2 linked regions of the Kluyveromyces lactis genome follow. The protein of the gene in region 2 binds, or shares a complex with, the protein of the main gene of each other region. Links are inferred from orthologs where the notes say so. Each region holds a gene or a part of one and is shown on either strand. Other genes may lie near its edges.

What was found. Proteins that work in one complex are often made in the same cells at the same time.
Region 1: RSC58 (region 2) and SFH1 share a complex: the UniProt entries of both Saccharomyces cerevisiae proteins name them as parts of the two forms of the RSC complex. The link is inferred for Kluyveromyces lactis from reciprocal best matches to the Saccharomyces cerevisiae genes RSC58 and SFH1.

Annotation. Positions count from the first base shown.
Region 1 is NC_006039.1:1,628,053-1,632,160, reverse strand, and holds SFH1 (Sfh1p), read left to right. Parts: upstream 1-1,355; coding exon 1,356-2,684; downstream 2,685-4,108. Other genes in the region: EFB1 (translation elongation factor 1 subunit beta), read right to left, coding at 1-263, 554-633; NKP2 (Nkp2p), read left to right, coding at 2,981-3,436; TAD3 (Tad3p), read right to left, coding at 3,442-4,108. UniProt on the Saccharomyces cerevisiae protein: Component of the chromatin structure-remodeling complex (RSC), which is involved in transcription regulation and nucleosome positioning. RSC is responsible for the transfer of a histone octamer from a nucleosome core particle to naked DNA.
Region 2 is NC_006042.1:1,592,814-1,598,246, reverse strand, and holds RSC58 (Rsc58p), read left to right. Parts: upstream 1-2,482; coding exon 2,483-2,538; intron 2,539-2,757; coding exon 2,758-4,210; downstream 4,211-5,433. Other genes in the region: ATP-dependent RNA helicase ECM16, read left to right, coding at 1-2,166; putative divalent metal ion transporter SMF3, read right to left, coding at 4,539-5,433. UniProt on the Saccharomyces cerevisiae protein: Component of the chromatin structure-remodeling complex (RSC), which is involved in transcription regulation and nucleosome positioning. RSC is responsible for the transfer of a histone octamer from a nucleosome core particle to naked DNA.

The DNA of each region.
Region 1 (4,108 bases), on a different chromosome or scaffold from region 2:
TAGCAGCCTTCTTTTCGTTGTATTCAGCGATTCTCTTAGCCTTCAATTGTTCAGCTTCTTCATCGACATCATCGTCAGAACCGAACAAATCGACTTCGTCATCGTCATCTTCTTCTTCAGCAGCAGCTGGTGTAGAAGTAGCAGCTGGCAAGGATTCGAATTGATCAGCCTTGGAAGCAATGTGGTTGAACCATCTAGAGAATTCTGGGTAAGTAGATTGGAAAGCCTTGAAAGCAGAGACGTCAGCTTGAGTAGCAGAGGTACTATATTGATGCAATTGTTAGTTAGTAAAATGGAAAGAACAAAAAAATGAAATTTTTTTGTATGGCAGCTAAGCTTGCTTGCTGAAAAGAGAATTCAATAAAAAAGATAAATCAGAATCGTACTGTCTAGGTACTGTCTCTTTGTCACTCATACCGGGGGTCTTACTTCCCGTCATAAACACGGACCAAAGAATTTGTTCATCATTGAAATAGTAAACTTTGAAGAATTCTCTTATTCAAAAAACTGCTTGATGCCATTGGAAAACCACCACTATAATTATTTCACATACCCTTCAATGTAAGACTTGTCAGCCAAGAAAGTGTTCAACTTTTGCAAGGTTTCGACCTTGGAGAAATCAGAGAAAGACATCGTTAATGGATAGTTAAACCTGGTGAGAGAAGAAACTAGGAAAGAATCAATTCCTCTTCTTCTTCTTACAAGGAACGTTGAATCAAATTGACGAAAAAAAAATACTGAAAAGCTGATGAAAAACTCTAATTCGAAAAGTTCCAATATATATATATATATATTTATGAGATATATGATATGTAAGACGTATGTACTATGGAATTATGGCATCTACGTGTATTCAAAGTGCATGCAATGTGCGGTGGAAGAAAATTTTTTTTCTTCCTTGTAAGTGCGATGAGATAGATACTGGAAAGGCAACAGCAGAAAACAGGGCACGCTGCGGCGTGCCCTGCGACAATTTGAGAAAAACCAAGTTTATTTTCAAAAATCATGGGTCCACCCCTTTGAAAAACGATTTTGCCATAGTAAATGGTTCCAAAACGGTACGGATTTTTCTGAGAAAGTGTTCTTTTTTTCATTTTTTTCAAACTGGATTCCTTTTCTTTTGACAAGTGAAATGTTTACTCAGGGTAACACTTAGATTGTTCAATCAACTCATCACTGTATACGAATATGAAAAAGTATCCATCAATTCAAGAATAGAAGTGCAAGTTCGTGTTTTAGGGCTGGTTGAATAAAGACTATGATAGTGTTACTACAAACAAACGGTTTACTCATTGAAGCGTGCTGATATACAGCAGACAAAGCAACTACGACCTGCCTCCCAAAATTGTATTGATATGTCGCTCGTACCGCAAGCCTACTTGAGTAACTTCCATAATAGAGTGAAGAACGAGGATGTTCCGTTGTTTACTGCTGCGCAGTTATCGAGAAACAAGAGGGGTAAACAGGTGAACTACGCTGAGTTCGATACGGATCTCTTGGATGAATTCATCGACAAGAACGATGAGGATGATTTGGAGGATGATGTGGACGATTCGGATGGTCGTCGTAGGGGTGGGGACTACTATGATCAAGTAGACGGTAGTGATGGAGGTGCTGCGGCTGCTGCCGCCACCGCCGCCGCAGCGGCGGGACTCGGTGAAGATGGTGGCATTGGTGAGGGCACGCCCGGGTCTGGTGACCCCGGTGCTGTCACTGGCGGAACGCCGGCTGCAGATACTGGGCCAGACGGTACAAACGATGGTACTGCAGGAACGTCAAATCCTAGCTCAGAATTGGATCGCATCAAACTAAACGACTTGCCCGACCTTGAAAGTCAGGATGATTCTGCCACTCCGCTAGCTTTGTTGAAATATCCTAGGATTAGGGAAACTTTCGTGCAAAGTAGGATCGCTATCAGTTATAAAGACCTTCTTGGAGATTCTATCCAGGATCCGCAGCAAGTGGATATAGAAAGCCCGATAATGGTTCCAATACGGTTAAACGTTGAATTCAGTGGACACAAGTTAGCAGATTTTTTCATGTGGAATTTGAACGACCATTCGATGACTCCAGAACAGTTTGCTACGATCTTGTGCCAGGATCTTGATTTCCCAGTGCTTTCCAACCCAAATAATTCCCCATATACACAGATTATCTCTATGATTAACGAACAATTACAAGAATATGAAACATTGGCATCTTTACAGGTTCCTGATTTACACGTGATAATAAATTTGACTGCAAATCTCGATTCCAAGCTTTATGATGACACTTTTGAATGGAACCTTAATGACGATTCATTATGCCCAGAACAATTCGCAGAATTGGTGGTACAGGACCTGGGCTTGCAAAGAGAGTTCGTTCCTGCCATTGCACATTCGTTGCATGAATCCTTGCTAAAGGTAAAGAAGGATTGGCTCGAAGGTAATTTGAATTTGGCCCATGTAGAAAATAAGGCAGCTTTCGGTTACACATCAGGTATCCGTCTAGATATAGATACACTTGGCGCCTCATGGTTCCCTAAGGTAGAAGTCCTCTCACAATGGGAAATCGAAAAGCGTGAAATTGAAAAGGAGAGAAACATGAGAAGATTAAAGAGAGAAAGTGCCAAGGTCGATGACGGAAGATCCAGAAGAAGAGGCAAGAGGAGAATGGATGACTTGGAAACTACTTTGAGAATATAAGTGTGTTCTCTTTTCCGGCCAAGCAGTTTAACTTCACAGACGCCCATTAGACAAAGCTGTATAGAAAATAAAGTTCTCCATCTATTCGTGGAGATTTATGTATCATTAATGTATTAATACCACCGTCATCTGTGGTTTTGCACAAATACTCTTCCTTTTCGTCAGACTATTATTTATTTAGTCGCCAAAAATCTCCACAACAAATAGAAAAAGATCAAAGATCATCGCGAATCAGTAATGCGTACGCTGGGAATAATAAAAAGTACATACCCGAAATCCTTATTACTTCAATTACTATGCTCCACGAAGTATTATACAAGCATTTAGACGGCATTTTAGTCTCACGTTTGTATACTGAGGATCAGTTTGTTGATCTATTTTCTAGAACGATACCGGAATCCAACACTGTGATCGCGTCACAGTTATACAAAAGTTATGAAGAGAATGATCAACGGATCATTGAAAAAATAGATAAACTCATCGACAACAAGCTGTCTTTGATAAGAGTTGAGCTCGAACGGGAACAAATTGAAGACTCCATTTCTCTCGAGGAAGTAAATAAACTATTGCATAGCATTGATGATATGTTGCAGCAGCATTTAAATCAATTAAACATTGAACTAGATAATAAAAATACAAAACTTTTGAAATATGCAATGGAACTCAGTGACATTGAAGCAATAGATACTTCCATGTACGATAATGTTGCAAAATTAATAACGGACATGGAAACCAACCAACCTTCTAGTTGAAAAGCTCAAGAACACACGGTAGAATCTATTCCAGGCACTTCCAATTCTTCACCAACCCATTGGAAGACTTCATACTTGGAGTTCAAATCTTTGTTTGAATGCATGCAGTATCCATCACCTGAATCAGGTTTCAGTGCACCGCTGACCGACATAGGATTGATGAATATGCATCTTTTCACTCTGGAATGAATTAGTGCCATGCTGCACATTGAGCACGGCTCATGACTGGTGTATACGTCAAAATCTAAGCAGAGATAAGTTTCCCCTTGATGTATATCTTTTTCTGACGCGGTACCGTTTTGGACACGGTCTCTTCTCTCCTGCTCTTCTTTAGCTACCTCATTTATTCCGACCATAACACTGTGATCGAGGGGAGATCCACTATGTCTATAATCCTTTGATATTATAATTTTACCAGATTTTGGATTAACGAATGCCGATACTATTGGAAGTTGCATGCTATCCGAATCTCGGATTGCTCGAGACTCTTCTGCTATCTTGGTTAACAATGACCGAATCTCTGTCATGTCAAATATATAGTCGTTTAATATCTGGTCATTAGGATTTCCTCTCCAAATTAACGGCCAATACTGTTCACTCCACTTCAACATTAAGCTTTTAGTCGATGGACCGACCTTCGGTACTTTGTTATCGTCTTTCACATTGTCATAC
Region 2 (5,433 bases):
CGTTGTGTCAGCTTACGTGCTAAGGAGCATGCAACTGATCCGGCTAAGTACAAAAAACTTAAACTAATTATCATGTCTGCCACCTTGAGAGTATCAGATTTTAGTGAAAACCCTACTTTATTCCCTGTTTCTCCACCTGTCTTAAAGGTCGACGCCAGGCAGTATCCAGTGGCTGTACATTTCAATCGTAGAACAGCTTATAACTATGCTGAAGAGGCTTTCAGGAAGACGTGTAAAATACATCAAAGGTTGCCTCCTGGTGCTATCTTGGTTTTTATGACAGGACAGCAAGAGATCACGCACATGGTAAAAAGGTTAAGAAAAGAGTTTCCTTTCCCCAAGAAACATCAAACTCTCATTCAAAATGACCACATACCTACAGTGAAAATAGATGCCAAAACTGCAGATGTAGAAGCTGAAGATATCGACTTCAGTGTCAGAGTTAGAGAGGAACAAGAATTTGACGATTGTTTACTCTCTGATGAGGAAGATATTGAGGACAAAGAAGAGGACGAAGAAGAAGGTTTTGAAGAAACACTTGAAGAAGGTCAGACGGATAGAGATCCACTATATGTTCTTCCTCTTTACTCGCTATTGCCCACCAAAGAGCAAATGAAGGTCTTCCTTGATCCCCCACCAAACTCCAGATTATGTGTTGTTGCTACTAATGTGGCAGAAACATCATTGACCATACCGGGAGTAAGATACGTCGTTGATTGTGGTAGATCAAAGGAAAGAAAGTTTGATGAAAATAATGGTGTTCAGAGTTTCGAAATTGACTGGATTAGCAAAGCTTCTGCTGGCCAAAGAAGTGGTAGAGCAGGGCGTACAGGGCCTGGTCATTGTTATCGTTTATACTCCTCTGCAGTTTTCGAAAGAGATTTTGAGCAGTTTTCTAAGCCTGAAATTTTAAGAATGCCTGTGGAGAGTATAGTTTTGCAAATGAAGAGCATGGCTGTTCATAATATTGTGAATTTTCCATTCCCTACCCCACCCGAAAGACCAGCTTTGATGAAGTCAATAAAGCTCTTACAACACCTAGGTGCACTCGACAGTAATGAAAGAATCACTGATGATGGTAAAGCAATGAGTTTGTTTCCGCTAAGTCCAAGATTTTCTAAAATGCTGCTTGTTGGTAATGAAAGCGACTGTTTGAAATATGTTGTTACCATTGTCAGTGCCCTTTCAGTAGGTGAGCCGTTTTTATCTGAACAAGAGCTTGGTATCATGGATACTGTGCCCAAGACACAAGATGAAGGACAATTAGATGACTATCCTGATCACGAAGCTGAGGAAAGAAAAAGGCTATTGCGCTCCAAGTATGTTAAAAGCAAAATTAGATTTAGTAAGCTTGATAAATTCAGTGATGTTTTCCGTCTTTTAAGTGCAGTATCTGCGTTGGATTTCATTCCAAAGGATCAGCACAGTTCTTTCATGGAAAAAAATTTCTTAAGGGCAAAAACCGTAGAGGAGATTATGAAGTTGAGAAAGCAGGTGATGTTCATCATCAGGTCAGTTACTTCGAGAGAAAATGTAGCTGTAAATGTTAAAGACGAAGACTTGAAGAGCTCGATCCCCACCGATGTTCAAATCAAATTACTCAAGCAAATGATCACAGCAGGATTTATCGACCAGGTGGCCGTTCGCGCAGACCAGTTATTCCCGGAAGACGTTACTATCAACAAAACCAACATTTTCAATATCCCTTATGTTCCAGTCCTTGCTGAGAAAACATCTTCTTTGGATGATATCTTTGTTTATATTCATCCAACCTCAATTCTCAACAATTCTGGCGAGCAACCTCCGAAATACTTGGTTTTCCAATCACTACATGTCAATAAAAATAATGAAAAGGCGAAAACAAGGATGAAGTCTCTTTGTGACATTAAAAGCACGCCATTGGCTAACGTTGCAAGAAAGGGCTCGTTACTCACTTACGGAAAACCAATCACTGGACAAGGTTTGAAACCTATTGATTTATCGCCAACAGAAAGATTCTGCTATGTTGTTCCTAGATTTGGATCTTGCAATGATAGCGACATCAAGATTGGTTGGGAACTCAATCCTATCCCTGTTCATCAAGAGAAAGAGAAAGGTGTATGGACGGTCAAGAAATTCCTTACTCCAAAAGCATTTAAAAACTATCAAGCTTCGAAAAGACCCTAGAACTACACCAGTACAATTTATAGAATTAATTAACTCATATAATACCAATTGCATTGGAATAATTAAAGGCCAATACCTAGCTTGTTAGGCTATGACTGGGTACTGTTGCTGTGACAGGAATCTCTGTAAAAGCTGTCAATGGATGCCAGTTGGATCATGATGTACGGTTTTGATGTTTTTCATAATGAAAACACAGGTTTTGGCGCAGGTTGATCAATAAAGGCTTCTTACATTACTGCTGAATGACAAACTGATGGGCAGTGAGAGAGTACAAGGTCTGCAAACTCTTTTATAGTGGGCTAAAAATAAGTAAACAATGGTAGAGCTGCTAAAAGAGAATTTTTTTCAGAACTTACTAACTGTTTTAAAAGGGTATGTGAATATAAAAACAACACATTTTTCATTCGAATTATGTTGCATTCGCACATGTTTTTGTCTAGAATCGGTGATAATAATAAATTAAAGACCAGCATACGATGACCTGGGGTTCCTCAAGTCTTTATTTTATGTTTTCAGTGTTAGATTTGCCAAAGCATGATTTTATTTTACAATCAAATACTAACAGTATTAATTTTATTTTGATTTAATTAGTGCATCTTCGAAATGCAGAGCTTTAGATGAAAGGTTTCCTAAAGAATTCTACGAGCCTGATCCAACACACATATACGATTCTTACGTGAAGTTTCTAAGGGCCAAGTTTGATGAAAATCCAGATATCAAAATAGCAGAAGATATTGATTCAATTTCCATATCTGATAAATTTGCTAGTGGAGATTACCAGAAGCATGAAGATTCTGTTTATCGGATTTACCATGATATTAAATTAGTATGCTCCATTTTAATTCACTACTACTCTCAAGGAACGAGGTCGTACCAAATGGTCGACAAATTCTACAAATTTGCAGCAGAATTGATTCTAAGGGAATGTTATAGAGTTGGAGCCAAACTGGTGGGAGACTTCGCGGCAGACATTGACTTCAAAGAAAGTGATTTTTCAAAAACCATTTCCAATGATTTCCTTAAAATTAGTCAAGTTTATCAGCTCCCCGTTACTGAAACTTACCATACGCAGACAAAGGAGGGACATTTGTTCAGTTCGGTGATAACGAGGTCAGTACTTGATCAGAGGCCAAAGGAAGTACCATACGAGGAATGTGAAATTGTGAAAATTATTCCTCAAGCAACATCCCAACCAGCCAATAGATTGGGATTCGTAGCAGCTAACACTTCCAATGTTCCTGATCCAACAATTTCTCCTACAGAAATCATGACCTCCTTTCTGCATCCGAATTGGTACCCGCTACCCACTACTAAATGGTTGGAGTATGGCGACTATCAATCTTTTGCTCCGAGTATCTCGGAGTTCAAGTCTGTAACAGATTGTTCCCGTAAAGGAGACATATGGTTGGAAAAGGTCGGATACAAAAGCTGGTTAGAAATAGAATCGAAGAAGAGAGGGGCTGCGGAAGCAGAAGATAAAAATGTTGAAGATGAAAAAATAAAGGATGAGGGTATTGAAGATCAAAAGGTTGAGGAAGCAAATGACAGTATCGGATCTGACAACCAAAAAAAGGAATCAAATGAAAATGATGAAGAGCAGAATGTTGCCACGGATGAAGAGCAAGATACAAATGAGGAGGGAGATGAAGTAATAGTGACAACGGAGCCAGCTGGACCTGTCAATATTAATTTGAAAAATCTTTATGACTGGCAACCTAGCCATGAGATACATGATGAAGATATAACGGCTTTTGAGCAAGGTGAACAGCAAAGGTTATTGACAGAGATATTGCTAAAGCTAAAGGCATGTAAATCGAGAAGGGTCAAGCTGAACAAGATATCAAAACCAACAAGTGAGGAAGTTTCCCTTTATCATAGAGCACAGAACATCTTGAAAGAAGCTCTACTTTCTAAACAGATTGTGACATCTCCAAAATTGCACGAGAAACATTTCCCAGTCCTTCAGACTAATTATGCCGGATCAGTTCCTGTCGTCAAGACCATATCGACTAGAAAAAAGAAAAGTAAGAAAGTTATGCAGTGAAGTAGATATTTCCGTATAGAATCTATAAATCGCAGCTGTGGTAGTGTGCAATAATCTGTGGGGCTAGTTTATTATCAGTGATAGCTAACGGTTACTATTATTTGGAGTTATTTTCTGAAACCATCAGTGTTTCGATTTTTTTACTTCCTCAATTACTTTCGAAGGTAAATGTCCAAGAACAATTAAAGATTATATAAAGAACAAAGAAATTAACCACAACAAAGGTACAAGAGAAGAGATCAACAAAGCAGATCCAATAAGTACAATTTACGAATTGATTATAGATTAAACAGAATCCATCAAAACTATATAAAATGCCTACTTAGACTTAAAAATGCACGTCCGCTCCCATGAGGTATGAAAATACAAGATAACAATTCAATGAACCAATTGTCAACCATATAACAAATGAACTGATGCTCAACAGTCTTCCATTGGTGTAGTCAATGGACTTAACGCCTTTCGATAATAATCTACTTTCTTCAGTACTGTCTGCAGATGCGGGTGCAGAATCCACATCCACAACGGTCATAATTTTATGATTCATAGTGAAGTAAATCAAAGGAGCAGAAACGATTGGTAAAATCAATGAGAGAACCACTTGACTCAAGTTTAGAATACTAGATACCCCCTTTTCTCCCAAGAAAGCCGTAACTAAGAAACAGGGTACGATGGCTATCAACCTTGTCAATAGACGAGTCACCCAAGGTTCAAGTGACCACTCTAAAAACCCTTCTGATACAATTTGACCTGCCATGGTACAAATGACACCTGCTGATTGACCACTAAAGAGCATTGCCAATGCAAATACGAGCCCAGCAGCTGGAGACACATAATGGGACAATAATTCATAAATAGAGAGTAAATCAGCATCCTCTGCATCGGGTTGCCCATATAAAGTCGCACCAGCGACTATTAAAATGGCAGCATTGACGAAAGTGGCGATGAAAAACAACGACACTATCAATTCAGCGTACGAATATCGCAACGTGTACTCAATGGCACCTACTGAAGGTTGTTCCTTAATTTTACCGTATTTTTTTAAGTCGTAATCGAAAACCCTTGGTTTTACGAGAGAGGAACCCAAAAATAAGGAATGAGGCATCACAGTAGCACCAAGAATACCTAAAGAGATATACATCGCTTGTTGTTCTTTGAAGATGATGGGATTTGGAATGAAGCCTTTGAACACCTCTAACTTGCTTGGTACGGATATCTTGAAC